7 linked regions of the Ovis aries genome follow. The protein of the gene in region 3 interacts with the protein of the main gene of each other region in a pairwise test. Links are inferred from orthologs where the notes say so. Each region holds a gene or a part of one and is shown on either strand. Other genes may lie near its edges.

Region 1 (4,023 bases), on a different chromosome or scaffold from region 3:
TGATGGTAGTCTAGAAGGTCAAACAAGGGGACAGCAAAGGACATAAAGATATGAGATGAACGTTTTGTTTTCCACCAATGCATTTTAACATACACAAAGGACACCAAAGCTGATAAAATACGTACAAGATTTTTCCCCCTTTCTTGTGGCTACATTTTCAAATTTACCTTATTGTACATTTATCATGATTTCCGATAATTTGTTTTTGCTTTTTTCTAAGTTTTATTAAGGATAATTTCAAATGGATAAAAATGTAGGGGAATAATATAAACCTTTGCGAATCTATCATCCAGCTTCAACAATTACCAACTGAAGGCCATCTTGTTTTATCTGTAACCCCACCCACTGCTCGCCGCCCCCCCCCCCACTCTTGTTTTTCTCAAGAGCACTGAATAGCTGACTTTCTGTATTTTATTATGGAAAAATTCAAACATATACCAAGGAAGCTAGAACAATACAAGGAATCCCATAAGCTCATCACTCAGCTTAAACGATTCATTTAGTGCCAATTTTGTTTTATCTATGCCCCTCGCCACCTCCCCTTACCGCTGAGCTAATTCTGAAGCAAATCCTAGACATCAAGGTATTTTGAAGCCAGTCTGAATGCTTTTATTGTTTAATTCGTATTTTCGTATATTTCTGTAAGCTACAGGCAATTTGAAAACATAACCACAGTATCATTACAACGTCTAAAAACATCGTCATTAATTCCTTAAAAAAAATCAAATGTCGAATCCGTCTTTAAAATTTCCTGATGCACCTTTAAGTATTTTTTTATAGTTGATTTCCCCGAATCAGGATTCAAACAAGGCCTACTCATCGCATGTGGTTCATCTCCAGCTAGCTCTCATTCCTCATTCTCCGTTTCTCCCCACCCCCGCTTTTTTTTTTAACTTTTCAATACGGAAAATTCCAATCCCCGCTATTTTGAGGTAATTGTCAAATAAATTATTTCATTGGTAAAGACTGATACGTCTCTTTTGTATCTCGAATTTCTTTTACGGAAGGAGGTGATAGGAAAAGCACTGTAAGGAACGACTTTACATAATTTTACGTTTTTTCTCACTCTATTACGCGGGTTTTTCTCTCCACAGTAATAGCTAACGTCTTCCGGAGCCACGGTGCGTATTAAGTTATTATACGTATTACATTACCTAGCAGTCGTATATTATACGCTCTAATATACAGCACACGCCTCTGAGGCACAAGTCTCTGAGACAGATACTATTATTATCACCATTTTACAAACATGGAAACCGAGACACAGAAAGAACAGCCAGCCCAAGCTGGGCGTTGGCGAGTAGGAATTCGAATCTAGTTCTGCCCGATAGTAAAGCCATTAATTAATCTTGTCTGTATACGCGACGATAAGAGGAAATCGTCAACCCTTTCTCCCCACCCCCACCCCGAAACCTGAAACGAGGATCCAGTTCTTTCCGACAGACGACGACGTGTGATCACTGCCGACTCTCCAACCGCCATAGTAAAGCCAGGTTTCTCTGGCAACTGATATCCATAGGCAGACACGTCACCCTGGAGGCGGGCTTATGCCCTACAGCCAATCACAATCGTCTCATCTAAGTTTTAGAATGTTCTATAACCAAATGATTGGATGAAGCTCACCACGTCAGCAATGACACTCCGCCGCAGTAAAGGCGGGTGCTAGCAACCTGCTTCTTCACCGTTAAGGCTTGAAGGAAACCAATTACCTTTCTCCTTTAGTGAGGGCTCTGACCAATGACGTTCGCCCTCTTAGGTTTTCAGCCCGCCCTCCAAAAGCGCGACAGCGGTTGGGTCATAAGTCTATAGGGCAGAGTGTTCACGTGGCCCACTTTCACGACCCAGAGTTCCCCTGCCCAGAGGTTTCTTTCTTTTTTTTTTTTTTCCTGCAGGGAGGCATTGTGGGTTCCCCCCCAACTGGGAAAGGAAGTGTCTACGTGGCCTGCGGAAACAGGATGGGCGGAAATGAGCTAAGGTCCCCGCGAGTGGGGAAGCGCTAGGTCAAATCTGCGGCCACGCCCCCGAACCTCTTGCGCAACTCCCGGAGGAAAAAAAAAAAATAAAGGTTGACTGGGGGTTTTGATGTGTGTGCGAGTTGGGGGTGGGGGGTACTGCGGGCGCGCGGTGTCAGGGCTCCTGTGCGCAAGCGAGCCCGCGTGGCCTTGGCGTTGGCGTGTGCGCGAACGCCAGGCCTCGTGGCGCTGGAGGTGGCTGGTGTGCGCAGGCGTGCGCCCCTAGCGTCGGGGCTGGTGTGTGTTCTGGGGCGGGTGCGTGCGCGTGTGTGCGCGCGTGAGCGCGCGCGTTCTATGCGGATCATTTTTCTACTTATGTTTGAAAATTATTCTTATAAAACGGAAATTTAAGCAATTAAGTTATGGCGACCATCACTGAGATAAAGGATTTTCGCTAGAAATACTTCGGTCTCCCCTATCGATTTGATTTTAAACCCTAAAAATACACTTTCTTCCCACGTCTATCTCCGAATCAAAAATCCCGTTCTAAGCCGTAGCCCAGCAGCGGTTAACAACCAAATCCCCCATTCGCTTACTAGCAGTTCCAAAAAGCAGCTTTGCTGTTCCCTAATAGCCGTCTTCCCCCAACCCCCGCTCCTTCCCCCGTCCATCCCCCACCCCCAAGTTGCGTCCAGTTCTGCCACAATATTTTGCTGAGAATATCTGTACACGACAGACTTCCCCTCCACTAGGGACTCCGAATTTCTGTGGGAGCTGAGGCTCTCTTACCTGCTTGTTCTGATTTCCAGGCAGAGTGCTCTTAACGCAAGTATGCACTCTAATTTTCCAGAAAGTTCTCCGTGTGAGGTTTATACCTTTTGAGTTTGCCACTAGATGCCGCCAAATTCCAGCAAAGGATTGGCTGTTTGGTCCCTGGAATTATGGGATTCCCCCATCTTTTTTTTTTTTTTTTTCTGATTTGCTGAGCTTTCCAATCTATAAAGATCATATATATCTTTCATTTCTCGAGAAAAATCAAATTAACTTATTAATAGCCCTACCAGGTAGGGCTCTATTCAAATGTTTACCTCCTTTCTTTACTTCTTTCCTCCTTAAAAAAAAAATTCCCCCTCCCATCTCTTTCTTCTTGCCTTTTTTGGGGGTGCTGCTGCTGCTGCTAAGTCGCTTCAGTCGTGTCTGACTCTGTGCGACCCCATAGACGGCAGCCCACCAGGCTCCCCCCGTCCCTGGGATTCTCCAGGCAAGCACACTGGAGTGGGTTGCATTTCCTTCTCCAATGCATGAAAGTGAAAAGTGAAAGTGAAGTCGCTCAGTCGTGTCTGACTCTTCGCGACCCCATGGACTGCAGCCCACCAGGCTCCTCCGTCCATGGGATTTTTGATGAATGACCCCCAAGCACTGACGCCGATGAAGATACGAAGATTCTAACCCTTTCTGTGGGGTTAGGATCTTTTCAAATGCTGCCACCTGCCCCGCTTTACCACCTCACCCTGACCCCTGCTCTGCTGCAGGGAAAACACAGGTGGTTTTCTGGTCAGTACAGACATTTGTCTTCACTGGGCTTGGACCCTGGGATTGAAAACTGATCTTTCACTTTTGAAATTATGATCGGATATTTGTGTTTTCACCCTGTCTTCTGCAGTAGTACTGTGAAACTTTATTATGTTTTTGGAGTTTAGAGGCCTAATTAGAGGCCTAATTTTGAGCCCGATTCCACCACTTACTAGTTCTGAGAACCTGGGATTTATGTTCTGTGATCCTGTTTTTTTGCATGCTTTCTATATTTTAGATGTGTCATATCACATGATATTCTTTAATTCTTCACAAAATCCTTGTTAGAGGCATACTAATAAAATCAAACAACACAAGTTATACTTATTTCAGTTATAGATTCCATACGTTTGTGTGTGTGTGCATATGTGTTTCTGGGCACACACGTGCACCCTTTGGGGAGGGGTGGGATTTAGAGCAGAGGTTCTCAAAGTGTTTTCCAGACACACCAATAGCACCACCTGGTGGGGAATTGTCAGAAATTTAGATTCTCACCTCC
Region 2 (4,088 bases), on a different chromosome or scaffold from region 3:
TTTTAGGATATCTTAAATATGCTTGAAAAAAAGTTGTGTTTAAAAATAAGCGTGCTTTTGTTTGTAGTCCCTTAAAGAATTACAGTGGACCCTTGAACAACACTGGAGTTAGAGGCACTGGACCCCAGGAAGTTGAAAACTTGTGTATAACCTTATATTCCTCCCGCAGTATTCATGGTTTCACATTTTAGGATTCAACCAACCTTGACTGTATAATACTGTAGTATTTATTTAGAGGAAAAAAATTATCTGTTGTAAAAGTAGATCTCTGCAGTTCAGACTCATGGTGTTCAAGGGTCCACTGTAAATGAGTAACTTTAGACTGCTGCACTTATATAATTTTTATTAAGCAACTGTACTAATCCTAACTTTGGATGGGAGAGCACTAACTTTGGAGAGGTGTTCATACAGTGTTAGGAAATCTCCCCAGTTAGCTGCTCACTGGGAAGGAGTCTTCCAGGAAAAGGATTTCTCATAAATCCAAGTACCTTCTGTTGGTTTATATTTTAGGTCAGTTCAAGGATATATACAAAAAGAGATTTAAGTTGTCCTGTGACAATGGACCAAATGATCTATCTGATGGGTATTTTAGCCAATATTCAGGTTACACAATAATTTTTTTAAAAACAACAATTTTTAATGCAATTTGAAAAGGAACAGTATACATTATATAACTTGGAAAGTGTACATGCCTAGATGGTGAAGACTTGAGTGCGTAACATCAAAACACAATAGTCCTTAGTAATGTCACAGCATTAATCCAGTTCCTGAATCTTCATATATTCACTCTAAATATATTCTCTCCACTTACCACTTTATGAGGTCTTGCAAACCTAAGCCAGGAAGGACTTCACAGCCCTCACAGGACTTGAAAGAATTTTACAAACCTGAGGTCTTTATATAAACATACACCCTATCTGTAAGGCCATGCCTGACAATCTTACTGAAAACTGTGAACTGCACAAAACTCCGATTCACTTGTCTTCACAGCACTAAAAATACTACACACACACACACACACACACACACACAAATATATACAGTGATTACTGTCTTCCCCTACTTGAATATAAGCACCACAAAAGGAAAGATTTTAATGATTTTGTTCCTAGGGTGTCCCCATTACCTAGAACAGTGCCTGGCACACTGTAGGCACTCAGTAAGTGTTTACTGAACAAAAGAAAGGGTATCAGATGTGTGCAAGTAAATAAAAGCTGATCCCTACCATATGAATGAACGAGTCTCTTCTATCCACTTACAGCCTGGATTCAAGGTTAAAATAGGATTTTTGGACGAAGTGGAAGAGTAGTATTGATCTCTACACTACCATGTGTAAAACAGCTAGCTAGTGGGAAGCTAAGGTATGGCACAGAGAACGGCTGAGCGTTCTGTGATGACCTAGCAGAGTGGGAGGGAGGCTCAAGAAGGAGGGAATACATGTATACTTACAGCTGATTCACAATGTCATAGAGAAGAAACTAACACAAAATTGTAATTTACTATAATTTTTAAAACTTAAAATTTTTTCATTATGATTTTTTAAGGAAATAGAGGCCTCAATAAAATCCTCAAGCTGCCTACCCAACATTTTCTCAGCAAAATGAAAAAAGAAAAAAGCAACAACCAAAAGAAGTATTTTTAATAAGTTGGTTCTAGTTCTGGAGAGAGGACAAGTTAATTAATCTCACATGACTCTTAAGAAAAACAGGAAAGTTCAATACTTAACTAGTAACCAGTAAAAAAAAAAAAAAAAAAAAATCAAAGCAGCCTGTTTTTCTACACCCAAAATGGGATCCCATCACTTAGGAACACAGAGCTCAGCAGAGTACGTCTTAGCAATTCTGGCCTCAGCCCTACATCCTCAAGATCCAACTCCAAAGTCCCTTTTTCCTTTCCCTCCATCCTGGAAGCCTTCCTAGAACCATTTTACACACACAAGCAACCTTCAGACCTCCCAGTTCTAAGCCCTGACCCAACCCAGGTACATCCCAGCGTTTCCCAAGGCCAGCAGAAAGACCCACCCACCTCGCGCCCCGGGGATCCCCCGTAAACTACCAGCCCTACTAATCCAGAGTCAGGGAGCACGAAAGAATCCAGACAGCAGGACTTCCCAGCCTGGCCAAAATTGGAGGACATTTTAGACCTTTATCCCAGTTCTGCCAATTTCAGTGTGACCTTGAACACGTCCCTGCTAGGGGGTCCCCGTTTTCTCACGTTACAGGCGAAGATAACACCTGCAGCTGCTGTAAGGATTACAGGAGATCACACGTGAAGCACCTAACGGGACACCTGGCACGAAATGGGAACTCCACCATCAGGACCGTGGGTCATTCCTCAGGGTCCTTGCAGCCTCCCAGCTGAAAGGCATCTCGCCCAACAACCCAATCTCCGGGTTTCAGAGGGGGGCACTAAGGTCGGGCAGTAGAAGCGTGCTGGACGCCAGTCCCAGGACCTCGCGACGCCCCCGCCCGAGCCCCCTCGCCGGGACGCCGCCGTTGCCGCGGGGCGAAGCGGTACCCACTGCCTTCCCTCGGTCCCCAGGTTCCGCGCGGCCCGGGCGCGGCCGCTCCACCTGCCGCCAGGCCCCGCCACCCGCTGCCCGCTCGCGGCCCGGCACACCCGGACTCCGGGGCTCGGCCTCCCGCGAGGCGCGGCGTACTCAACTCTTCACTTTGCCGAAGGTGCCGACGCCCAGCGTGTCGCCCAGCACGTAGTGGCCGATCTTCACCCGCCCGTCGTGCTTCTGCTTCTCAGCCATGTTCGGCGCGCGCAGCCTCGCTCCGCCGCCGCGGGATCCTCTGCGCGGCCACCGCCGCCGCCTACCCACAGTGCAGCGGGCCCGCGGGGGGCGGGGGCCCGAGACTTGGGGACCAGGCGAGACGGGGCGGGGCGGGGCGGGGCGGGGGGAGGGGGGACGCGAGCAGGTGGGGGGCAGGGGCGGGGGCGCGCCGAGGCCCCTGGGCGGGCGTGAGGCCGGCGTGGGCCCGGGGCCAGGGCCCTGGGGGCGCAGTGGAGGGAGCGTGGGCGCTCGGTGCGGGGGAGGTCGGAGGCCGACAGGTGTGCGCGGAGCGGGGAGGGGGAAGGATGTCGCCTCGCTACCTGGAGGAGGGGCCCTGGGGTGGGAGCCGGGTTAAGGGGCCCTCTAGCAGAACCTGACGGTGCGAATGAGAGGGTGAGATTTGGGCCGAATCTTGGCGAGTGGAAAGCAATGGAAGTATTAATAGAACCTGGGGAAGAGAAACAGGCCTGAAGTGTGGGGAGAGAGGGGCGTGAAAAGCAGTGTGTGGGTCCGAGGGAAGTCAGGGCTGGCGGCAGTGGGGAAGGGCCTTGATCGAAGGTCAGTCGGAGGAGAGTCACAAGGAAGCTTTTGGAGTCACGCACTGTTTTCATACAGGTCACCAGGGCACAAACAAAAAAAGCCAACTCTGCTGGCTTCACTGATTCTCCTCTACGTTCTGTCTAATTCTCAGTTATGGAGGAGATACCCTCTCTAGAGCTCTCCGTTCTAACTAATTTGCACAAAGTTCACCAATCAGTCCCAATATTTGCTCAACTGTATTTTAGACATATAAATATATGGGCTTTCTAGGAGGCTCAGTGGTAAAGAATCCGCCTAGGAGACAAGGGTTTGATCCCTGGGTTGAGAAGATCCCAGGGAAAAGGAAATGGCAATCCACTCCGATAGTGTTGCCTGGGAATTCCCATAGACAGAGAAGCCTGGCGGGCTGCAGTCCATGGGGTCGCAAAAGAGTTAGACACAACTAATCAAGTATATATAGCAAAGAAATTGTGATAGAGCTGCACAAGAGGGAAATAGTGGAAGAAACTGAAGCGGGAAACTGAACGTAGTGAGCTTGGGGAGTAAGCTACCTAAGGGACAAGGGCAATGTAAGGGCACAAATTAAAGGTAAAGATTGAAGGGGGAGTGAGGAAACGGCAAGAGGAAACTAGAAGCAGGCAGAGCCTTAAAAACTGCCAAGATACAGTAAGTACAGTGATTACTCCTCCCGCCCTCCCTTCTCCTCTCCTTTCTTCTTTCCTTCCTTCAGTCTCCTAGTTTCCAGTGTTGCCTGTCAGTGCTTAAAAAT
Region 3 (3,500 bases):
GGAATTGTTTGGGGAAAAGACCATAATGTAAAAACATGTGTAAGCACGCTTTGTTTTAGGAAATAAGACAAGGTTGCTGAGCCTTGAAGGCTAGAGAAGAGTGGAGTAAAATGAGACTGAAGAGTTCTCTGCAGTCCAGGGCTTTATGGTAAACCAGAGTCATGAGTTGTCACTTTACTCTGAGTGTGCTGGGAAGCCATTGGAAAGTAGAGGGCAAGGGGAATACTTTGATATGATGTTTTAAAATGATCACTCCAGCTTTGACATGTGAGAACAGAGTAGAATCAGGGAAACCAGCTGGAAGTTTATTGTAGTAGACTAAATAAGAGGGCTGTTTAAGATAGAGGGCAGTGGTTTTGAGACAGTTGGCAGGGTATATGAGGGAGCAAGAAGAATGAGAGATAGCTCCGAGCTTTTTGGCTTGAACTGTTGACTGGAATCATACCACTTCTTGAGAATGGGAAGGCCAGAGTGGAGTATAGAACTTACAGTACTTTGGCCGTCATGCATTTGAGATGCTCATTAGATGTCCAAGCGAAAATCCCAGGTAGGCATCTGGATACATGAGTATGGAGTCAGAGCTCGAGATATAAATAGGGGATATTTAGCAGACAGATGATCTTTCAAACCTAAGGAGAGTGATTGGATAAAGAAGAGAAGGGGATTAGATGGCAGGAGATGTCAGCAAAGGGACCAAGAAAGAGGGGCGGTGAGGTACCAGGGGACCCAGACCAGAGAGGTCAAGGAGCTGAAAGAAGAAAGCTTTTCAAAGAGGTGGGAACAGTATCTGTGCTATAACAGAGTGTAATTCTTGGAAATATTCTTATTTTGTAAGGACCTCAGGCCAAGAGCAACAGAGTTCTCAAGTGACCTATATTCTTACTTTCTTTCAAAGTTATGAAGTGAAACTGAAGAACAGTGCAAAAAAAGGCTTTCTGACAGCTCTCTAACTTTTCATTGATGCCAATTTCATGAACTTTTAAAAATCGTAAACTTTTCTGCCTTATTGTAGGAAAACAAACAAGATGGGAGAATTCTGAGGGGTTCACAGAGAGCCCGAAGGAAAAGACGAGGTGATTCAGCTGTATTAAAGCAGGGTGAGTTGATGCAAGGAAGGTTTTACTTGTAATTTTCTGAAGTTGAAAATATTTCACACAGGCAGACATTTTAGTCTTAATTGTAATGCACACTATGGCCGTTAAAGGATCGTTTGGGGATTTTCTTTGATTAAATTGTGTCAATAAAAGTTGGAGTTTAGAAGAAGTAGAAAAAGGCGAAGGGAAAGTGGAAATTAGCAAGTTTCAAGCAGTGTCAGGGAAAACTTGAGATCATTTTCTGTTATTTATTTTTCCACCAGGTAGGTTTCTTTTACTTCTGCACTTTGACTAAAACCTCTGGTCTTACTCATTTCATAAAATTTTAGATTTTTTTTAAATGTTTTCTCTCAACCATAACTTCCTGACAGGGTACCCTTTTTTCCTTTCTTTATTTCTCGAGGAACACTTTATTCTCTGAGGAATCTAGAGCTTAGGCTCTGCCCTTCAGTACTTGGTGGGCTAACTTGCTGCCTTATTCATCCTGCACCTTGGGTTGTCTCCCCAGAAGCTTCTGTGTGCCCCGCTAGGCTGTGTCGAAGGACCTGCCACATCTACACGGCTGGTCTTCCATGTTAGGTCACTGTACTTTGCACAGTCCCATCCTGACCTGCCAATCACATTGTCCCTGTGAATCAGGGCCTGAACTCAGCGCTTCTCTTCAGGGCTTAACCACATCCCTCCCTTGTTCGTCTCTTAAAAACACTTTGAGGTGTTTCTACTTGCATCAAACACACAGCCTAACTTCTGCATTCGGATGGCCTTCTGTATTCCATCACTGACATTAAAGGGAGCAAAGTCTCAGTTGCTCTGCACTTTGCCTCTTTGTCCTTTCTGTCCCTTCCCCTTCATTGCTGCTACCCTCGGGGCTCTGGCCCTTCAGTGGCCTTGTTGCTTCAGTCATTTCCCTCTCTCAGCTCTTCCATTTTCTTCCTCTTCATGTGCTTTATTATTGCCTGTTCTAAGCTCATCTCCAAATATCTTTCCCTCAATTTTAAAACACATCAAGCCTAACATTATATATCCTTTCTTCATTTTTTGTTAAATTAACCCCAAATAAAATTGCTATAGACTCCGTATCTTTATCATTTATGTGTTCTTTTGCAACTTAAAATTTGGCCTTGGATGCATTGATTTTTTTTTTACCCCCCTTTCTCCAAGTTAGCAGCCAGTCCCTAAGTTACTCTGTGCACTGACCTTTTCTCAGTTCTCAGCTTCTTGATTCATTAGGAAAAAACTTTGGAGCATCCTGCTCCTAGACACTTTCACTTGCTGAGCTTCCATGATTCTGGTCTATCTTGGCTTCCTACTGCGTCTCCTTTATTTACTTTAGTACTTTACTTTAAGTACTTTAAGTTTTTAAAAGTACTTTAAGTTCTCCTGTTCCTTTCTTCTACACTCATTCCTGGATATACACATAGTTTACTTTTTAGCTCTCATTTCTTCAGAAGAGGAGTCAGGGAAAGAAATTGAGAAATATCCATCATGGAAGTAAGAGAAGAGCCAGGCCTGGGGGTAGTTAGAAAGTAAGAGTTCACAGTAAGTATCCTGCTCTGATTTCCTAGATTGGGAAATTCGGTCAGTTTAGTCTCACTTGCCTTTCAGGTTTGCCTCCTAAAGGAAAGAAAGCTTGGTGCTGGGCGTCCTACCTGGAAGAGGAGAAAGCTGTGGCCGTGCCGGCAAAGCTGTTCAAGGAGGTACCCACCCTTCTAGAAGGCATTGTGCATAAGGGCAAAGGAGCTGGAATGCTGGTCTGGGATTAGTATTGCCGTTTCTACTGTCTGTCTAGGAAATGTGACTTGGGATAAGTTTTCAAACATTGTTTTTCATATGTGGAGGGGGACCTTGGAGGGTAACTATCATCATATATGCACACCTTCCCTAGGGCCACATGCATGGGCACACAACACACATACAAATACAGACCTACAGACAGACGCTGTTTTCCGTCAACAATTGTTAGGCTTTCATGCATTGATTTGCAGAAGGATGCTTCTATTACTACTGAAAAACTAGTAGATAAAGAAAAACTAGCCTAAAATGTCATGGCTTTGAGAGAATAAAAATGACTTACTAAGGTTTGCATAATATTACAGAACATAAAAAAAACATTGTTATATTAACCACAGTAAAAATCTTTTATCAGAAGTGCGTTAAGATCAGAAAAGTAGCTCTGAGTAGGAACTGCTGTCACTGGGCTAAACCAGGGATCAGCAAACTTTTTCCATAAAGGGCAATAGAAAATCTTGTAGGCTTTCTGGAGTATATGGTCTCATTTATAAGAGCTTAACTCTGTTCTTGTAATGAAAGCAGCCATAGGCAATGTATAAATGAATGAACATGGCTAATATTCCAGTAGAATTTAATTCACAAAAACAGTGGTTGGCTAGTGTGTCCCATAGATTG
Region 4 (3,955 bases), on a different chromosome or scaffold from region 3:
TTTGTGATTTATGGGTTGAATGGAGAGAAAATTATGGGAACAAGGAATTAACCCCAAATTTTACAGTAATTTCATTACAGAATTACAGACCACCACCTAGGGAGGGTTTGCAATTTAAAATAGCACTGTGAGAGTGTATCTACGGAGTACATTTTATTCACTTAAGCCAACATACACCTTGCTATTAAGCACGCAGCTGGTGTACAAAGCTGGTTCCAAAGATAAATTCATAAATAGAAAAGCAATGTTTACGTTTTCCAATAAGCAAGATGTTCTAAAACGAAATTCTAAGACAATTCTAGCAAAACAGTAAGTGACAAGAGAAATTAGGGTGTTCCATCAAATAACTTAAATGTATAAACATGATCTTCAAAATTTTAAGGCATTAACTATTTCTACCCAGTGCAAACACTAAATACAGTTGCACTTTAAAAGTATGATTACTATCTTTTTGCTGATCCACTGCTGCTGCTTCTTTGATTATATCTACTTGGAAATTTCATAAACATTCAAGTTCTGTACCCCTGGCCCAAAATTAGTTGAGTTACTAAGGTAAAATCTCAAAAAAAAAGGACGGGGGGGGAGGGGCAATTAGAAAAGATCTAACTACTTTCACTCTTAGAAATGCAACTTAAAAAGAAATTCATGAAGTATATTTACAAAAAGTGTATGTGTATTCATCCATTCAAGCCTTTTCTGAGCATCATGTTCTCAGCACCCTGAGGATGAAGAGGCAAATCAGAGCTCATGTAATGCTTTCTGTTGAGGAAGTGCCATGGCAGAAAAATGTAATATTTACTGGGATGCATCTGGATAGATAAGTGACTTATTCTTGGGGAGAAAAGGGAGTGAGATAAGGAGAACTGTGCAAAAAAGTTTTCAAGAGCATAGGCTGAGTATTTTTAAGAGGAAAACTCTCAGTACATAAAACCTTGGAAATGAGGGAAATTCCTAGGAAATACACACACACTCACTAAGGAACTAAATTAAAATCAGAAAGAGAAGCTAGGACGGAGAAAACAAAATGGACAGAAACTGCTCCACGGGAATGATTTAAGTATCCTGCAAAGTTAAGAAAAATGAGAAGGTTTCAGTTATAAGACCTCAGTTAACTACCAAGTTGTTCGCTAGATTTGTGACATTAGTTAAATCACCTCTATTCTGGGTAACTTTTCATCCAGAAAAACATATGTATAATGGCAATCACCTTACACTTGAAAAAAAAAAAAAAAACTAAGAATATTAGCAATCAAATCTGAGCAGAAGTTCTATTTTTACCTACAGATTAAGAAGAGAAATTCTCCAAGACATGTTGAAGTATTTATCTTGTTTGTGATTAAGAATGCTCTCAATACAATTAACAGAAATTTGGAAGCCCAGATGCCTTTATTAAAACTAGTAATTGACATTCATTTACTGGGCTGATTCAAGCTGAATCTTTTTTGATGCCTTGGTCAGTGCACCAGTTTTATTTTTTGAGGCGATTACATGTGCTTTCCAAATACGTAACTTAATACCATTCACCTCCAATGCTGGGAGGACCCGAAGAGATTAAAAACAGAAGCCTTCGTTAATACTGAATTAACCCGAGGACCCCATGAGCTACCGGAGTACAGAAAAATGTAAATGCTCAGAACACGGTAGGCATGCACCTTTATAGAACCAAACGGAGGGGGAAAACTTCACAATGTCAAGATCACTTCACCTTATTCTTAAGGGAACAACACATGCCTTTCTCTCAGTGAACGGTCCTGGCTTTCTTAGCTGAATTTCTTCAGTAACGCACTAAAAAATCAACAAATCGAGTCTATGAATTACAGAGAAGAGCTTGGTTGTCTGTAACCTTCATACTGCTCGTTCTTTTCACCGCACACTCCCAAGTTACTATTACAACGTAGTAAGAGCGCACCGGGTATTCAAGTCGCATGAACAGCAAGCTGTCGGCCTCCCAACAAATATGTTAAAGAAAAACTTTGGCATACGACTTTAAAAGACTCCAAATAAGTAAGGCGTCAGACTCAGCCCTTCTATCAGGGCAAATCGTGCGGTGCCATTTTTTTTTAAATTTTTTGCCTCAAACCCCATAAAAAGACGCTGCTCAAGTTACAAGGTCTCTGATGCCCAGACCCTTCAAACTTTCTGGACAGAAAGATGCTGGCACCCCAAGACGCCAGTGGCGACGACGGACACCCGTCTTCACGCCCTCACAACTTCTCGCCGGACCTCGGGGTCCCCCTCCCCGCGGGCCGGACAACCACCCGCGCGGCCCTCCCTGCGGCCCGCGAGCCCTCCGGCGGGCGGCCGCGGCCCCTTAGGGAGCGGGGAGCCGCCCGGGAGCGCCCCGTTTCTCACAGACCCCAACATGGCGTCGGCCGCCGCCGCCGCCGCCGCCGCCGCCCGAGACGACGACACCTCCCCGCGCCGCCGACGGCCCGGGGACCGCGGCGGGGAAGCGCAGGGAAAGTTTCGCTTCTCTTCTCCCGGCCCTCCGGGGGGCCGCCCGACGACCAAGCCCGGGGTTCACCTACCCAGCCGGGCGCGGACGGCCGCAGCGGCGAAGGTCCGACTTCTCCTCTTCCCGGGCGCCGCGCGCGGACTCTCCTTGCCTCCCGCCCCAGCTTCGCAGGGTGTGCAGCCAGCGGCCCCGCGCAGCCGGCGCGATCCGGACGCGGCGGGCGGGCGGGCGGGCGTCGCAGACGCTCGCAGGTGACCCTCCCGCCCCTCCAGTCGAAGCCCACAACGGCCGCCGGGGCTGGCCTCTCCCCTGCGCGCGCGCGCAGAAGCGCGCCGCCACCCACACGCCGGGCGCGGGCGCGGGCGCGATCACACCCCCAGCGCTCGCTCCCCACCCTTTCTGGCCTGCTCTCTCGCCCCGCCCGGGCCGTCCCGCGCGCCGGGCCCGAGGGGGCGGGGCCAACGCGGAGGCCACACCCGCCTGGGAGGCTGGGGCTCGGGATTGGCTCCTCTGCTCGGAGTTGAGGGCGCGCGCCCTGACGTGGATTGGCTACACGTGCGACGTCTTTTACCTGGGCTGCCTGGCGCAGGCGAGCCCTCTGAAAGGACAGTTCACCTCCTAGGGAAGTGCTTAACGACGCTATAAAAATGGAAGGAGGGCTGGGCCCCTTTCCTCTCACCCCGAACGGGCCTCTGCGGGGAATTCAGGAACTTTCCGCGACCGGGAAATGAAAGCTTTGGATTTAGCTGCCCAAGGCGTCCGGCTAGACGTGTTTGCTACATCCTCTTAGCGCGCCCGATCCTGCCCCCTCACGTGTTCCACTTGCTTGCCCTAAAAATCCTACCGCTTGAAACACAGGAAACGACGGCGGCAAAACATACCCCGCATACTCCGCACAGCCTTTTAAGTGATGCGTTTATTCCCTGACTTAGAATTCTGGTCTTTCCCCAAATTTTCTGTGATACCACAAACGTACTTCACACACCTGGAAACAGTGATGATGGTATATAAGGTTGAACGTGCCCCTTCATTTATACCGCAGCAAAGTGTGCTGGTGGGTCCGTGGAGACGTAAAAGATGCCTAAGGTAGATAAGGACTGTGGGCCTGGTGAGGGGTGAGGAAGACTGCATATTCACTTCAAACAAAAAGTGAATAGGCAGAAATTAGATTTGAGTAAATTTTATCTTTCCCGCTGATCTATTACAAGATTTTGAAAAAATACCTCTTTTTCTTTTATATGTTTTCTTCATTTTTTTTGTTTTTTCTTTTCTTTGAAATAGTAACTTTTTTTTTTACCTTTGATTGTAGCCATCAGAACCCACGCCACATGAAAGAGCACCCACCTAGGGAACATAAAGCAGGTCTTGTTTCCAACCAACTTTCTTTTGGTCTGGGATTTGTCCTCCCCAGATCTTCCACCTGCCATCCTGTTCTGTTTGAATATGTCAGAAACAAAATTTTTTTAAAAAAATTGGTGGCTAAAACAAACCTGGCAAGGA
Region 5 (3,984 bases), on a different chromosome or scaffold from region 3:
CTTCAGAGATCAACTTCCCACCCAAACCCACTGTGGCAGAGACTGCAAACTACCCTTTTCTGGTACAGTCTCCTCAGTTTCCACTAGGTCAAGGGTCCTTCCTTTGCATTTCAGGTGTAATCATATGAGGAGGCTGCGGCCAAGAGATGCACGCAGTTTACACAAACAGCTTCAACAGCGTACTTCACAAGGACGCTGCTGGCCCTCCATCCTCTCCCTGCCCACAGCTGGAGGTGAGCCAGTGCTCGTACTCAGGCGAGAATACATCTTAGAAGGAATGTGGGCTCCTGGGTCACTTCATGGGGTAGAAGTGCCCACCCCTCTTCAGGATTCAGCCGCCTCTGGACTAATGCATTAAAGGGATACGCTTCCTTCTTATTTCAGTCACTTTATCTTGGGGTCTCTTTGTTACAGAAGCTTTGCCTGTACCCTTATGTGCAGAGGTCCCTTGAAGCTAGCCATTCACAAATTCACAACATTACAACATGATTTACTTACATTTTCAAGCTGACCCCTTATAAATGCTAAGTTCGCCATCTGAAAGCAGATTATAAGTTGTTTTTCAGTTTAAAGCATTGTTTCCACTTACTTCAAAATCTTTACACTGAAAACTCCCCTTTGCTTTCACCTTCTATCTAAAAAAACAGTCCAGAAACTGTTGCTAATCTGCTAGAAGCAAAGTTCAGCAATGGGGTGAGAGTACGTGCATAGACTTTGATGATAACAATTCTAGATCCACTCTTCACTGAGAACACAAATATTAATGTTAACTGTTTCTTTTCGGTCTGGGGTTGAGGTTTCTTACAGGTGACAGTTCAAGGGTAATAAAAATGGAAAGCTAAAGAAAACTTAGTAAAAACAAAACCCAGAGAGACATCCTGCAGGTCAGGAATACTAATCAGGAACACTAACAGCCCTTCTCCTGCACCACTGGCGGCGGCTCAGACTGGTCAGAGGAGTTACCAAGTCATAAGTGTAAGCAATGGCCTTCGTGTTGTGACTCTTGTGGGCAAGATGAAGAGCATCATGCAAAATCAGCTCTGCCTCTTCTGGCTCATCTTTCATGATGCATAACTGAAAAGAGAAAACAAAATAAAAGAAACTGAAACACGAAAAGAACAGAGACATGCACCGCCAGACAGAAGCGAGTATGGGCTACGTGTCCCAGTACACAGAGGGAAGCTAGTCATTCATTCCTCAAACACTTATTGAATCCCTGCTCTGCAAAGGCATGGTGTCTGCAGTGGGGACTGGAGAGGGGCTCCCCTGCAGCTCCGCATGGCCACAGATATAGCACACTGGCTGACATAGGCAGCAGGATTGTGAGCACTTTTCACGAGCTCTTATAGCGGAGCTGCTGGCCCTACATCCTCCTCCACTCTTCCTGCAGGACAGGTGGGGCTCAATCACAACCAATGATACAGGCGAAGAAAGGCAAGAGAAAGGAACAAGGGGTTTCCTTCAAATGGAGTCAAGAGAAGCCGCCCAAGGAAGCGACAGTTAAATTGAGGTAAAAAGAAAAACAGCCAACTAAGGAAGGAACTATGGGGGAAACTGACCCAAACAGACAGCAGGGAAGGAGCGAAGGTGCTACAGACTGAAGATAACGGACTTTCAAGAACCACTCAAACAATGAAAGTCAACAGATGTCAACTGATGGTGACTGTTACTGCCAAGTAGGGAGGCAATGGGGTGGGACCATAGGTCTCACCAGCCAGGGCAAGGAGTCTGGGTTCTACCACAAACGCTGTGACGGGTCAATCAAGGCTTGTGGGCACGGAATGACACCAGCTGATTTACATTTAAATGATCCAGTTGCTGTCAAGCCTGGATGGCAGGGGGCAACAGGGCAGACAAGACTGCAGGCTGTGGCAGCGTGGCCAGGGCGACAGGAGGAGACACCGAAGAGGCGACAGGTTCGAGATTTTGGATTTGGTGGCAAAATACAAAAATTCGTTGCTGGATTCTTGGTATATGGGAGGTGGTAGGTAGGTACCACACAAGTTCTCAGAATGGGGCAGACTACAGAAAAGAAGAGGTACTGAGGGAAGGGGTCGGAGGGGTGCCTAAGACCACAGGTTCGTTTGGGTCAGCTGAAGCCTCAAATAGAGTTGGCATGCGGGCCGCACCTGCCGTGTGCGGGCACTCGGGTGGACGCGGTGGGCATGAGGCGGCGGTCAGCGCAAAGGAGGAGACCCGGCACCCCGGGAAGAGGGGAAAACGTTCAGGAAGAAGAGGCCCGCCTCGCTCCCCTCAGCCTGTGCGCACTTCTCCCCGCGCTCGCAACCTCGCAACCGGCAGCGCCGCCTCCACCTGCGCCCAACGCACGGACCCCACGACTCCGTCCACCCGGGTCCCCGTAGTCGAGGGACGTGCTGCAGCCCCTCACCTTGGCTCGCTTCAGCAGCTGGATGATCTCGGCTTCGGCGTCCCCGGCTGCAGCCCCGCCCGCGCCCCGTCGCTCCTGCTCCGCCGCCGCGGGCCTCGAGGACCAGGCGAGCGCTGCAGGAAGGGGCACTGAGGTCACCGTGCTCAGCCCAACCAGCCCGGCCCGCCCGGCCCGCCGGCCTGCACCCCTCACCTGCCAGCAGCGGCAGTAGGCCCGAGCCTCGGCCGCGCGGCGCCCCTCGGCACGGCGGCGCCCGAACTCCCGGCGGCCCGGGCAGCAGGCACACCGGGTAGCAGCGGCCCCGCCGTTCCGCCACCCGCAACAGACCTCGGGCCAGGCCCACAGCCAGACGCCGGTACATGGCCCCCAGAGCGTCCTCTGCGCACTGCGGCCACGGGCTCCGGAAGTCCCGCCCCTGGCGCCGAACGCCCGCCGATTGGCCGGACCGCCCGCATGCGCCGGGACGCAAGTCTACGTCACCTCGCCTTCCTCCCCTGCCCCGGAGAACGCGGGACCGCCATGGCGGCTCCGACTGGGCCTCTCACGTTACCAGCTGTGGTGGAGGAGCTGCTGAGCGAGATGGCGGCGGCTGTGCGGGACGGCGCGCCGAGTATGGGCGGGGGCGCGGGAAGCAGCGCCGGCGGGACGGGGTTCGGGGGTCCGGGCCCACTGGGGAGGTCTCCGCCCTCTTAACTCGCCTGTAGCCCTTCCTTCCCGCGGTCTGTGTTTGTTCCAAAAGGTTCCCCTCCTGACCTCTGTGCACGAGTGACTGTTTCAGGGCCCCAGATGCAGGACTTGAGGGGTCTGGACGCTGTGGCTGTGCCTTTATTCCTCTGACCAGCAGAGGACGCTCTGTGACCAGACTCCCCTGGCCGCAAGCGCACGGGGCCAGAGCGCGTCCCCGTTAGAGCTGGCGCCACCGCCGCCATCTGAATGACCATCCAAAACATCGGTTAGGCTTCAGTGAACCTTGCTGGTTCACTTGGGCGGCGTTTGTTTGCAAAGGACCGCACTTTGAAAAGGATTTACCTTGACTTGTTTTTTAAAGAATTGAGAGGAGGAAGCCAACTTTTCTCATTTCAGTTAAATCTAAAGCAGTACATGTGCTTAAAAGATGAGGCGAGCCAGGTATTCGAACATCCTCTAATCCCAAAAAGCTTGGGGGAGAAACCAGTCTGTTGACAGCTCAAACAGTGGTTGCCAGAAAGGGTTGTGTGTGAAGAGCACAGTGTGAGAGTCTTGAAGGGGGCGCCCCTGAGGCTTGGGGCTCATAGAGACTACTATCACCGATTCACGTTTTTCAGAGCCATTTTCTTCTAGTTAAAAATCTTTGTTCTTAGACAGTCATACACTCTTCCTGAGCCCCCTCCTTCGACGATAATTTTCTTTAGATCAGTATTCTGAGTTTACACTTATATGATGTAAAATATAGTCACAGCTGAGCCATGTAGTAAGTGATGACTACTTCTTTACTGTAACTTTTTGCTTCCTCTCAAAACTGTCATGATTGCATTTGTTTGGTTGTTTACTTTTCTATATGTTTATCCCTAATTCAATAACTTCCTTTTAGCTCAGATGGTAAGGAATCTGCCAGC
Region 6 (4,017 bases), on a different chromosome or scaffold from region 3:
GGGTTCCAAGAGAAACCATACCAGAGAAGAAAAATTGGAGGCTCAGAGAGGTCAAGGCAGTGACAGGGTCACACAGCAAGTACCTAACAATGCAGTCACCTGAAGGTTTAGGAGAGGGAGAGATGAACAGGTGGATAGGAGGGGCCTGGGAGAGGGTGGTAGCCTCAGGCCAGGAGCTTTGGAGAGAGAAAGGGCCCCTTTACCCACCGAGAAGGAGCTGAGCTTCACGCCCACTGCCCGGTGCTTCCGGCCCAGGCCGGCCAGGTACTCCTCCAGGGAGGACAGGTCCTCCACATTGGTCACTGCAGCATCGATCACCAGCATCACCTGCCAAGATCAAGGTCGCAGTGAAATGGAGATCAGAGCAACTCCCTGCCCCTGCTCACAACCAGTCCAGAACCGGGGGGTCCCAACCAGAAGGAAGGGAAGACCCTTGCTTATCTGGGATCAGAGACAAAAGGCAGCCTGTGTCTGCCTACTGGGGGTGCTCACATTATGGTAGCCAGACTACTAACGTTAGGCCATGAAGGAAGCTGCCTTCTGCTGAGGGGCTCAAAGCCCTAGACACACCTGTTGAACAGTATTATCCTCCTGGGATGGCCTCCTGAGACCCTGCAAGAGCCACCAGCCTCTAAGGAAACCCCAGCTTGGTTTTACAGGGGGATGGTCCCTGATGGATCAGCACAAACACCACCTACAGGAGCCAAGGGATGAGGCCGAGGGCAAAGGGCAGAGCTGGGAGCAGCTGGCCGACCGGGTGCCCCAACTCTGCCCAGTTCAGCACAGAGGGAAAGTAGCAAATGCCTCCGACAGGAGGGAGCAGAAGGGGCACAGCCCAGGGCTGGGGAAGGACGCCAAAGGAATTCTCCCACCCTGGGTTCTCCCTCTCCTGTTCTCCCCCAGGAAGGCCCTCCACCTCTCCTCACCTTCCTGATGTGGTCCAGGAACTCGGGGGAAGACAGGCAGTCCTCTGGGCTGGAGAACTGGCGGCAGTTGTACTGGAAGAGGGGCAGCAGGTCTGGCTCCAGGTCAAACAGCCTGCATGGGGAGTCCCGGTGTCAGCCCTGGAGGGGGTCGCCCCTCCAGGCTCCACGGGCCCTGGCTGCCCTGCAGCAGAGGAAGGTGCGCAGAGCCTGGGCTGTAAACTCCAGCTCACCCTCAGCCTGGCACACACCGCTTGGCCAGCTTTGCCGCTGGCCCCTCTTACCTCTTCTGCATCGTGGAAAACATGTGTTCCCCAGGCCTCATAGGGAAGCCCCTCCCATAAACCGTGGAGGAGTGTGGGCTGGGACAGGCAGGGGTCCTCAGACAGGAAACCCGGAGTCTGTGGTGGGGACTCCCCTCCTGCCGTCTGTCTCCTTCTCCTCCCCTCCCTCCCATTCTTGGATCAGAACCCCCCAGTCCCATCCTGGCCAAAGGCGCTTGGCCCAGCAACAATAATAATTAGTATTCAGAAGTCCTAACACTTTCTGAGCATTGAGTACCTTGCACGTGGTTTACTCAGGTATCCCCTCACAATCCTAAACAGTGGGTGTAACTGTTATCCAGTTTTATAGACGAGGAAACAGAAGCCCTGGGAGGTTGAGTCATGTGTCTCAGATCACACAGCTTGGGAGCAGCATGGCCAGAGGGCGCCAGAGAAAAGACTGGGTTTGGGGAAAGCTGAGAGGCCCAAGTATAAGCTCTCATCCTTATCTGGGAGGCCTGAGACTGGAAATTTAGTCCCTTTTTGTTTGCGAGGGGGAGGCTTTACAAAAACCTCTTCAGAAGTTCTGGGCTGGCTTAAAGGAGCCAAGGCTCCTGAAAAACCATGGTGAGGGGGCATGTCTTCTTGGTGAGGGCAGAGGGGCTACCTAGACACCCTCAAGCTGATCTTGAAGGCAGCCTCCCCTCCCCTCTGGGGTCTGCACACTTCTTCGCCCCTCTCTCTCTGGTGGTGAGAATTGGGCATCTGTCCTCCCTTCCCTGGAGGATCTCAGGTCCTAGCCTGTCATTTCCTCGGAAAGCTTTATCCTGAAGTTGACTGCTGGAAGCGCACACTTCCGGGGCCCAGACCCCGTGCCCTGCGGACCAGGCGCCCAGTACAGCCTTCCCACGCAGGCCCTTGGGACACCCCGGTATCTCTCCATAGGGGCAGCGGTGGGCACCCCTGCAGTCATCACCCAAGGAAAGAAAACTCAGGAGGCACACGGCCGGGGAGGGGGCGCAGCGCAGGGCCCGGAGTATAGGGAGACGGGCGGCGGGAGAGGACCCTGGCCGGCGCCCAGAGAGCCTCGCTGGGAGCGGAGTGTGTGCGCTCGCCCAGACGCGCCGCGGCCGCCGCGGGAAGAGCCGCAGGGGCTGCGCCACTGGTCGCCGCGCCCCGCTTCTCCGGCGCCAGCTCGGCCGCCTCCGACTCATTCCTGGAGAGCCACCCCGCTCCCCGCACCCCCGGGTACGCTCTGGCCGCCCTCACCTGGCGAACAGGACGGTGCCATGCTCCAGCGGGCTGCGGCTCACCGCCCGCCAGCTCTGCCGGATCAGCTCGGGCTCCGGGCGCTCCATGCTCGCCCCGGGGACGCGGGGCACAGGGCTGGGACCCTCGGGGCGCGGGCACCGTCACCGCACGTGCCGCGCCATCTCCGCGGAGACGCGGCCACTCGGCACCTCCTACGGCCCCCGCGCCTCGGCCGGGGCGCCGCGGGGATGGGGAGAGCGCGGATGGTCCAGCCACCGCTCCTTCCCCGCCCAGGTGGAGGCGCCCCCGCCGGCCCGGCGCTTCCAGGGAACCCCCGCTCCCGGCCGCTATGCCTTGCGCCCCGCCCTCGCCGCCCGCCTGGGGCTTTTTAAAGCCGCCGCGGCCCCCGCCCCTCTCCGTCCGGGTAGACACGCATCTCCGGGCGACCGACTCTGGCCGCGGACTTGGCGGCTTGGGAAAGGACAGGGCTTCAGAGCTTCACGGAAATCGCCGAGCCTCTGGGGAACTCGGTTTCTCATCCGGTGACAATTTTACCACTTACTAGTTAGGGCAAGGAGAAGGAAATGGCAACCCACTCCAGTATTCTTGCCTAGAGAATCCCAGGGACGGGGGAGCCTGGTGGGCTGCCGTCTATGCGGTCGCACAGAGTTGGACACAACTGAAGCGACTTAGCAGCAGCAGCAGCAGCAGTTAGGGCAGGGAGCTGGAGCTGCTCGCCTCTCCGCTACCCCACGCAAACGCTGCCTGGAGGCATCCGACCCCTGGCACCATGTCTCCTTCCTGCTGCCCCGAGGGGAGGGTGGAAGAAGGCCAGGGTGCCTGCCTGTGTGACAAGGCGCAGCTGGGGGAGGGCCGTGAAGGGTAGGGCAGGGTCTGCCCTAGCTCTGGTTACTGACTGAAGCACCCTGGCACACTCAGGGGCCACCAGGGTGCTCAGCTTTAGGGACAGGGCCAAGACCACCGCCGTGTCCAGCCAGGCCTGCGTTTTCTTGAGGCTCCTTAGAAATCTGTCAGCTCTGGTTCTAACCCCAGCTGTGCTTGGCCGGGGGTGGGGTCTCAGGTGCAGCAATGGTGAGCAACTCCACTGCGTGGACAATTGAGGGGGTGCCGGGAGCCAGCGTGAGGAACTCCGCCCATGGCAAAGGTCATGAGGAAGGAGGCTTTGGCATATGCAAAGGCGGGATTGAGCCTCAGGAAACCCCCTGTTCCCGAGCATCTACCCCCGAAACCAGAGTCTGCCTACTTTACTGTTTTATGCTCTCACCTACACCTCTGACTTTACAGGGGGCTCTCCCCATCACCATTTCTCTCGGAGAAGGAGTTAACTTGCAGCTCCAGTTAAACAAAAATTCCTGGGCATGACAAGAGTGTTTCAACTTACAAACTCCTCTGAAGGTTCTCTAGCCTGCCTGAGCGGGTTCGTCCATCCACATGTGATTGTTTACAGCCTCCCAACTGTGAGAGGCACGAGATGCTTTAAAACTTTCTAAATACAGACTCTTTTGAGAAGTTAGAAAATTATTAGTATAGTGTAGTGGGTTGATTAGAAATTATATTGG
Region 7 (4,230 bases), on a different chromosome or scaffold from region 3:
TGGCCCTCTTACTTCCCCATCAATCACCTCCACTTCCCCTCTTTCTCTTAGCCTCTCCCTGCTCTCTCGTCCCCTCACTCCAACCCCTTCCCCTGTGGGAATGTGCCCATGTCCTGGCCCCACTCCACTCCGGCTGGCAAAGGCAGATCCCCAGCACTGGGCCCCACCTCACAGCCTCTGCCCACACCACCCAGGAGAGCAGGTCAACCCCCTATCAGCTCATGCCTCCAGCACCAGCCCTCCAGGCCCCAGCCCTGGGCAGAGTCTGAGGTCTGGACCCAGGCACCTGGAGCTTCCTCCTGCGTTGGTCCTGGCCCAGCGGGCACTGCCCTGGCCTGCGCCAGCCCCTCTTCACAGTTACCCCGCTCTGCCCTATTTGGCAAGGCAAACTCATCCGTGCCACAGACATTTACTAAAGGCTGAACTCCGCTCTCAGCACTGGAGAAAGGAATGAACAAGATGGGTAGAGCTCAGCCACAGGGCTCACAGTCTAGGTGGGGCAGACAAGCTATGAACATGTAAACAAGCGACCTAATTGGATGACTTCAGGTTGGGAGATGTGGTTTACAAAATAACAAAACGGGAGTGAGGCAGATGAGGGTGACCTCAGAGGTCAGGGAAGCCTCTGAGGAGGTGACAGTTTGAGTTGGATCTCAATGCCAAAAATGCAGCCATGAGAAGATCTGGCGGCAAAAAGGAAGTGCAAAGGCCCAGAGGTGAGAACAACCTTGGGGTTTTGAGGAACAGGAAGAAGCAGCTGGTGTGAAACGAAGTGTTGAGGGAGGCCAGAAGGAGGTTAAGACAACCCCCCAGGAGTGATGACTCTGAGGCTTGGACTTGCATTTCAGCTCAGTGTTGCGGAGTGGGTGGGGGAGGGTGGAGAAAGAGGGCAAAACTGGTAGATAATGTTGGAGTTAGGCGATGGATACATGGAGTCCATTAGCCTATTTCCTTCAGCATATGTTTGAAAGTTTCCACTATACAAGTTTAAAATATAAAACATAAAATGCTAAAGAATTTTAATATTATGATTATCAATCTCTCGATTGCTGAGACAGGACTATGCCAGCCAGCAGCAGGGAGTCCCACCAGCGGCGGCGGAAGGCACAGTAATGCCACCGCCTCCCTCCCCAACCCCTTCCCTGGCCCGAAGGCCCCAGTTGGGTGAGTTCGAAGTCTTCTGTGGGTCCGGCGTGCGGAGCGCGGTGGCGGAAAGGGAGACTGGGGGGCTTGAGTCTGGGTTGCCAGTCCCGGGAGAGAGCGACAAGGAAGCCCCCCGCCCGCACCGCCTGCAGCGCCAACACACCCAAACGCACTCCGCTCGGGAAGCTCACATTTCTCTGGAACTCCGACTCCGAGAGTTGGCGTCCAGGCTCCGCCCCCGCCTCGCGCCCAGGCCCCGATAGGCGGAGCCGCCGGGGTAGGGGGGCGTGTCCAGGAGAGTTGGAACGCGGCGGCTTGGGCGGCGGGGGTTGGCCCCCTCCGCAAGCGGAACGCGGCAGCCGAGTGCGGTCTGTCTGGCCGGCTGCCTGGTGGGGCGCGAGACGCGAGGGCCCCCGGCTGAGGAGGTAAGGGTCACCAGCCAGGCCGGGGCGCCCGGAGCAGGCGGGCTCCCTGCCGACTGCCTCCCAGCTACCCCGGGCTCCTAGTCTAGGTGGCCCCTGGACTCGGGCGGGGCGGTCGCGAGGCCGGTGCCATCTCGGACTCTGGCCCTGAGCAAAGGCACGGACCAAGGCGCTTATTGCTGGCTGGTGGGGCTGGAGGAGGGGCGGGGGGCTGCTAGGAGCTCCAAGGACAGCGGGGTGAAAACAGGTATGGGGGTCTCCGAAGTCCAGGCAGGGTGCCCGGGGGGGATGCACGAAGTGAGAGCAGAACGGTCTGGAGACGCCTGTGGACGTTGAAGCCCGGGACAGCAAGGATCTCAGCGCTCCTGCTGTCTGGGGAGGGTTCGGGGATTCCTGACTCACGCCATCGTGGGGGCCGCCACTCTTGGTCCCAGTCTGCAGGGTGTGGAGCAGTGGGCAGGGATAGTTTGGCCCAGGGAAGCGGGGAGGAGAGGCAGGGTGGTAGCGCTTTCCGGGTTGCCTGGGTGCTCGCTGGCCCTTAAAGCCTCTGAGTTTGTGACTTTTGGTGGCAGTTGTCAAAGGAAACAAGGCCAGGCTTAATCTCCAATTTCACAGAGGAAGTAGTGAGGCTGACCCAGAAAGAGGTGGCAGTTCCCAGCCTGGAATCACCCGGAATCTCCTTCCCTTTCTCTCTCCCTGAACACCTGAAGGGCTGTGCAGGGGAGAGTTGTCATCCAGCCACTTTTTCAGATAGGAAAGTGGATTCCCTGAGTCACTTTGTAACTTGATCAGGGATATGTTCGTTTGGAATTTGAACAGCATTGTTATCTCACCACCAGGGAGGTCAGAAGCCAGGGAAGAGGGGAGGATGATTGCTGGCGAATTTCCACTCAATGCTGGCATGTTCCTGGGCCTGCAGTTTCCACTGGGGTTGTCTCTGACTTCAGTCTGTGTCCCTGCAGACATCAGCCCCCAGGGCTGCCAGGATGGGCAACTGAGGCAGCCCAGCTGAGCTAAGGGACTTGCGCAGCCCAGCCCGCTACAAGAAAGGAAGGGACTGGGCAGCTCAGCCAAGCTAATGGACATGCCCAGGCCACCCCTTGACCTGGGTGGAGAGGGTTGAGGGTTGGAGATCAGGCATTTGGAGAGGAGCCCTGCCCTCTGAATCTGAGGATTTCGGATTCTGTCTTCAGCAGCTCATGGTTGTCTTGGAGCTGGGACGTTGGGCAGTGACTTTGGATGATGGAGGTGGCACCTTCCCCCATGGGGCTTTTGTGAAGAGTCGGCATGATAATACTTGCAATGTGCTTACCGTTGTGCCTGTAAGCTGTAAGCTCTCAGTTAATGGCACCCCTGGTTTATTTTCCTTATTACTATTCTTTTCATGGAGGAGGGCTTTCCAGGAAGCACAGAACTGGACAAGCCTGAGGGGTGGCCCCTCTGGAAGGAAAGGACAGTTGGATTGTGCTTGGAGAGAAACTCAGATCCTCATCTTGGCCTGCGGACCTGCAAGACTGGCTCCTACAGCACCTTTAACCTTACCTGTTACTCCTCCTGTCTCCATAGTCAGGTCTTTGAGCTGTTCCCTCAGCCCAGAACTTTTTCCCCCTCAGGCCTTTGCATGGCTAAAATCCTTCACATTCAGGCTGGTGCAGGGTCACTTCCTCACCAGGCCTTTCCTGACTACCACCCTCACCCTAGCCTTGCTCAGCACATCAGCCCTTTTCTTTGTGGCATTCACAGTCAGAAATCACCGTGTTGATTTATTGATACTTTCTAGTCTGGCTGTTGCACCAGGCTGTGTGATACTGAAAGGTCTGGTCCCTAGCTCCCGGCTGTAACCTGGTGCCTAGTCCTGCCTAGTAGAACTGTGCCAGGCACACAGTAGGACTTTAGTAAATATTTAGAAGGTAAAATCAGGTAGGCATGAAGACAATGTGGGCCAGGTTGGGACTGGAGGGAATGAAGGTCAGGTGGTAAATCAGCCCTGTCCTAAGGGGAAGCCAAGGGGTAGTCCAAAGGGCCAACACCCTGACTCCCTCTGTGACCTTGGCCAGGTAACATCCTCTCCGATAAGCAATGTCCCCAACTGTAACTCTTAATGGGAGGGTGGACCTGAGTGCCCCACCCAGGTCCTACTATACAGGGTTCCCAGGTTGGGGCCCCAGACAGCTCTTTGAATCTCAAAGGCTGTGTCCAAGTGGAGGAGACTAGCTCCATCAAGACATGGCCCCATGTCAGGTGTGTCCCTGGAGCAGGCACATTATGCATTTGACACTGTGTGGGGGGGTATAGATCAGGGCTCTGCACACTTTTTCTGTGAAGGGCCAAATGGTAAATACTCTAGGCTTTGCAGGCCAATCACTGTTGCATATGGCTATGTTCCAATAAATTGTTTTTAGAAAAGCTGGCAGTGGTTCGGACCTGGTGTAGATTTGCTGCCTCTGGTGTAGGTCACGTGTGACACCTCAACTGTCGGGCATAGAACCCTGGCCACCCAGTGACACCTGGAGCATGGCTTACTCACTGAGAGAGCCGTTGGCCTAATTCAGATGGTGGGATCCCTGGTGTTCAGGAAGGCCAGCCCTGGAGCCTGCCCCACTTCAAAAACATGCAAGAAAGAGCTGGCCTGTTTACTTCTTTGCTCCCAGACACTGGCCCTTCA

What was found.
Region 1: the proteins of L3MBTL3 (region 3) and MORF4L2 interact in binary tests that used the Homo sapiens proteins (3 or more experiments, as listed by UniProt). The two-hybrid records come from large-scale screens. The link is inferred for Ovis aries from reciprocal best matches to the Homo sapiens genes L3MBTL3 and MORF4L2.
Region 2: the proteins of L3MBTL3 (region 3) and PRKAA2 interact in binary tests that used the Homo sapiens proteins (3 or more experiments, as listed by UniProt). The two-hybrid records come from large-scale screens. The link is inferred for Ovis aries from reciprocal best matches to the Homo sapiens genes L3MBTL3 and PRKAA2.
Region 4: the proteins of L3MBTL3 (region 3) and PLEKHF2 interact in binary tests that used the Homo sapiens proteins (3 or more experiments, as listed by UniProt). The two-hybrid records come from large-scale screens. The link is inferred for Ovis aries from reciprocal best matches to the Homo sapiens genes L3MBTL3 and PLEKHF2.
Region 5: the proteins of L3MBTL3 (region 3) and TTC19 interact in binary tests that used the Homo sapiens proteins (3 or more experiments, as listed by UniProt). The two-hybrid records come from large-scale screens. The link is inferred for Ovis aries from reciprocal best matches to the Homo sapiens genes L3MBTL3 and TTC19.
Region 6: the proteins of L3MBTL3 (region 3) and NGB interact in binary tests that used the Homo sapiens proteins (3 or more experiments, as listed by UniProt). The two-hybrid records come from large-scale screens. The link is inferred for Ovis aries from reciprocal best matches to the Homo sapiens genes L3MBTL3 and NGB.
Region 7: the proteins of L3MBTL3 (region 3) and PLEKHF1 interact in binary tests that used the Homo sapiens proteins (3 or more experiments, as listed by UniProt). The two-hybrid records come from large-scale screens. The link is inferred for Ovis aries from reciprocal best matches to the Homo sapiens genes L3MBTL3 and PLEKHF1.

Annotation. Positions count from the first base shown.
Region 1 is NC_056080.1:129,270,832-129,274,854, forward strand, and holds the start of MORF4L2 (mortality factor 4-like protein 2), read right to left. Parts: upstream 2,801-4,023; 5' UTR 2,742-2,800; intron 1,486-2,741; exon of another isoform or gene 1,414-1,485; intron 11-1,413; 5' UTR 1-10. UniProt on the Homo sapiens protein: Component of the NuA4 histone acetyltransferase complex which is involved in transcriptional activation of select genes principally by acetylation of nucleosomal histone H4 and H2A.
Region 2 is NC_056054.1:31,181,423-31,185,510, reverse strand, and holds the start of PRKAA2 (5'-AMP-activated protein kinase catalytic subunit alpha-2), read right to left. Parts: upstream 2,801-4,088; 5' UTR 2,759-2,800; coding exon 2,665-2,758; intron 1-2,664. UniProt on the Homo sapiens protein: Catalytic subunit of AMP-activated protein kinase (AMPK), an energy sensor protein kinase that plays a key role in regulating cellular energy metabolism.
Region 3 is NC_056061.1:55,685,155-55,688,654, forward strand, and holds part of L3MBTL3 (lethal(3)malignant brain tumor-like protein 3), read left to right. Parts: intron 1-1,012; coding exon 1,013-1,097; intron 1,098-2,699; coding exon 2,700-2,791; intron 2,792-3,500. UniProt on the Homo sapiens protein: Is a negative regulator of Notch target genes expression, required for RBPJ-mediated transcriptional repression. It recruits KDM1A to Notch-responsive elements and promotes KDM1A-mediated H3K4me demethylation.
Region 4 is NC_056062.1:82,115,588-82,119,542, forward strand, and holds the start of PLEKHF2 (pleckstrin homology domain-containing family F member 2), read right to left. Parts: upstream 2,801-3,955; 5' UTR 2,529-2,800; intron 1-2,528. UniProt on the Homo sapiens protein: May play a role in early endosome fusion upstream of RAB5, hence regulating receptor trafficking and fluid-phase transport. Enhances cellular sensitivity to TNF-induced apoptosis.
Region 5 is NC_056064.1:33,235,627-33,239,610, forward strand, and holds the start of TTC19 (tetratricopeptide repeat protein 19, mitochondrial), read right to left. Parts: upstream 2,801-3,984; 5' UTR 2,751-2,800; coding exon 2,582-2,750; intron 2,503-2,581; coding exon 2,390-2,502; intron 1,075-2,389; coding exon 964-1,074; intron 538-963; coding exon 499-537; intron 1-498. Other genes in the region: ZSWIM7 (zinc finger SWIM domain-containing protein 7), read left to right, coding at 2,909-2,999. UniProt on the Homo sapiens protein: Required for the preservation of the structural and functional integrity of mitochondrial respiratory complex III by allowing the physiological turnover of the Rieske protein UQCRFS1.
Region 6 is NC_056060.1:86,628,937-86,632,953, forward strand, and holds the start of NGB (neuroglobin), read right to left. Parts: upstream 2,801-4,017; 5' UTR 2,545-2,800; coding exon 2,456-2,544; intron 1,039-2,455; coding exon 927-1,038; intron 328-926; coding exon 208-327; intron 1-207. UniProt on the Homo sapiens protein: Monomeric globin with a bis-histidyl six-coordinate heme-iron atom through which it can bind dioxygen, carbon monoxide and nitric oxide.
Region 7 is NC_056067.1:39,781,579-39,785,808, forward strand, and holds the start of PLEKHF1 (pleckstrin homology domain-containing family F member 1), read left to right. Parts: upstream 1-1,430; 5' UTR 1,431-1,568; exon of another isoform or gene 1,569-4,230. UniProt on the Homo sapiens protein: May induce apoptosis through the lysosomal-mitochondrial pathway. Translocates to the lysosome initiating the permeabilization of lysosomal membrane (LMP) and resulting in the release of CTSD and CTSL to the cytoplasm.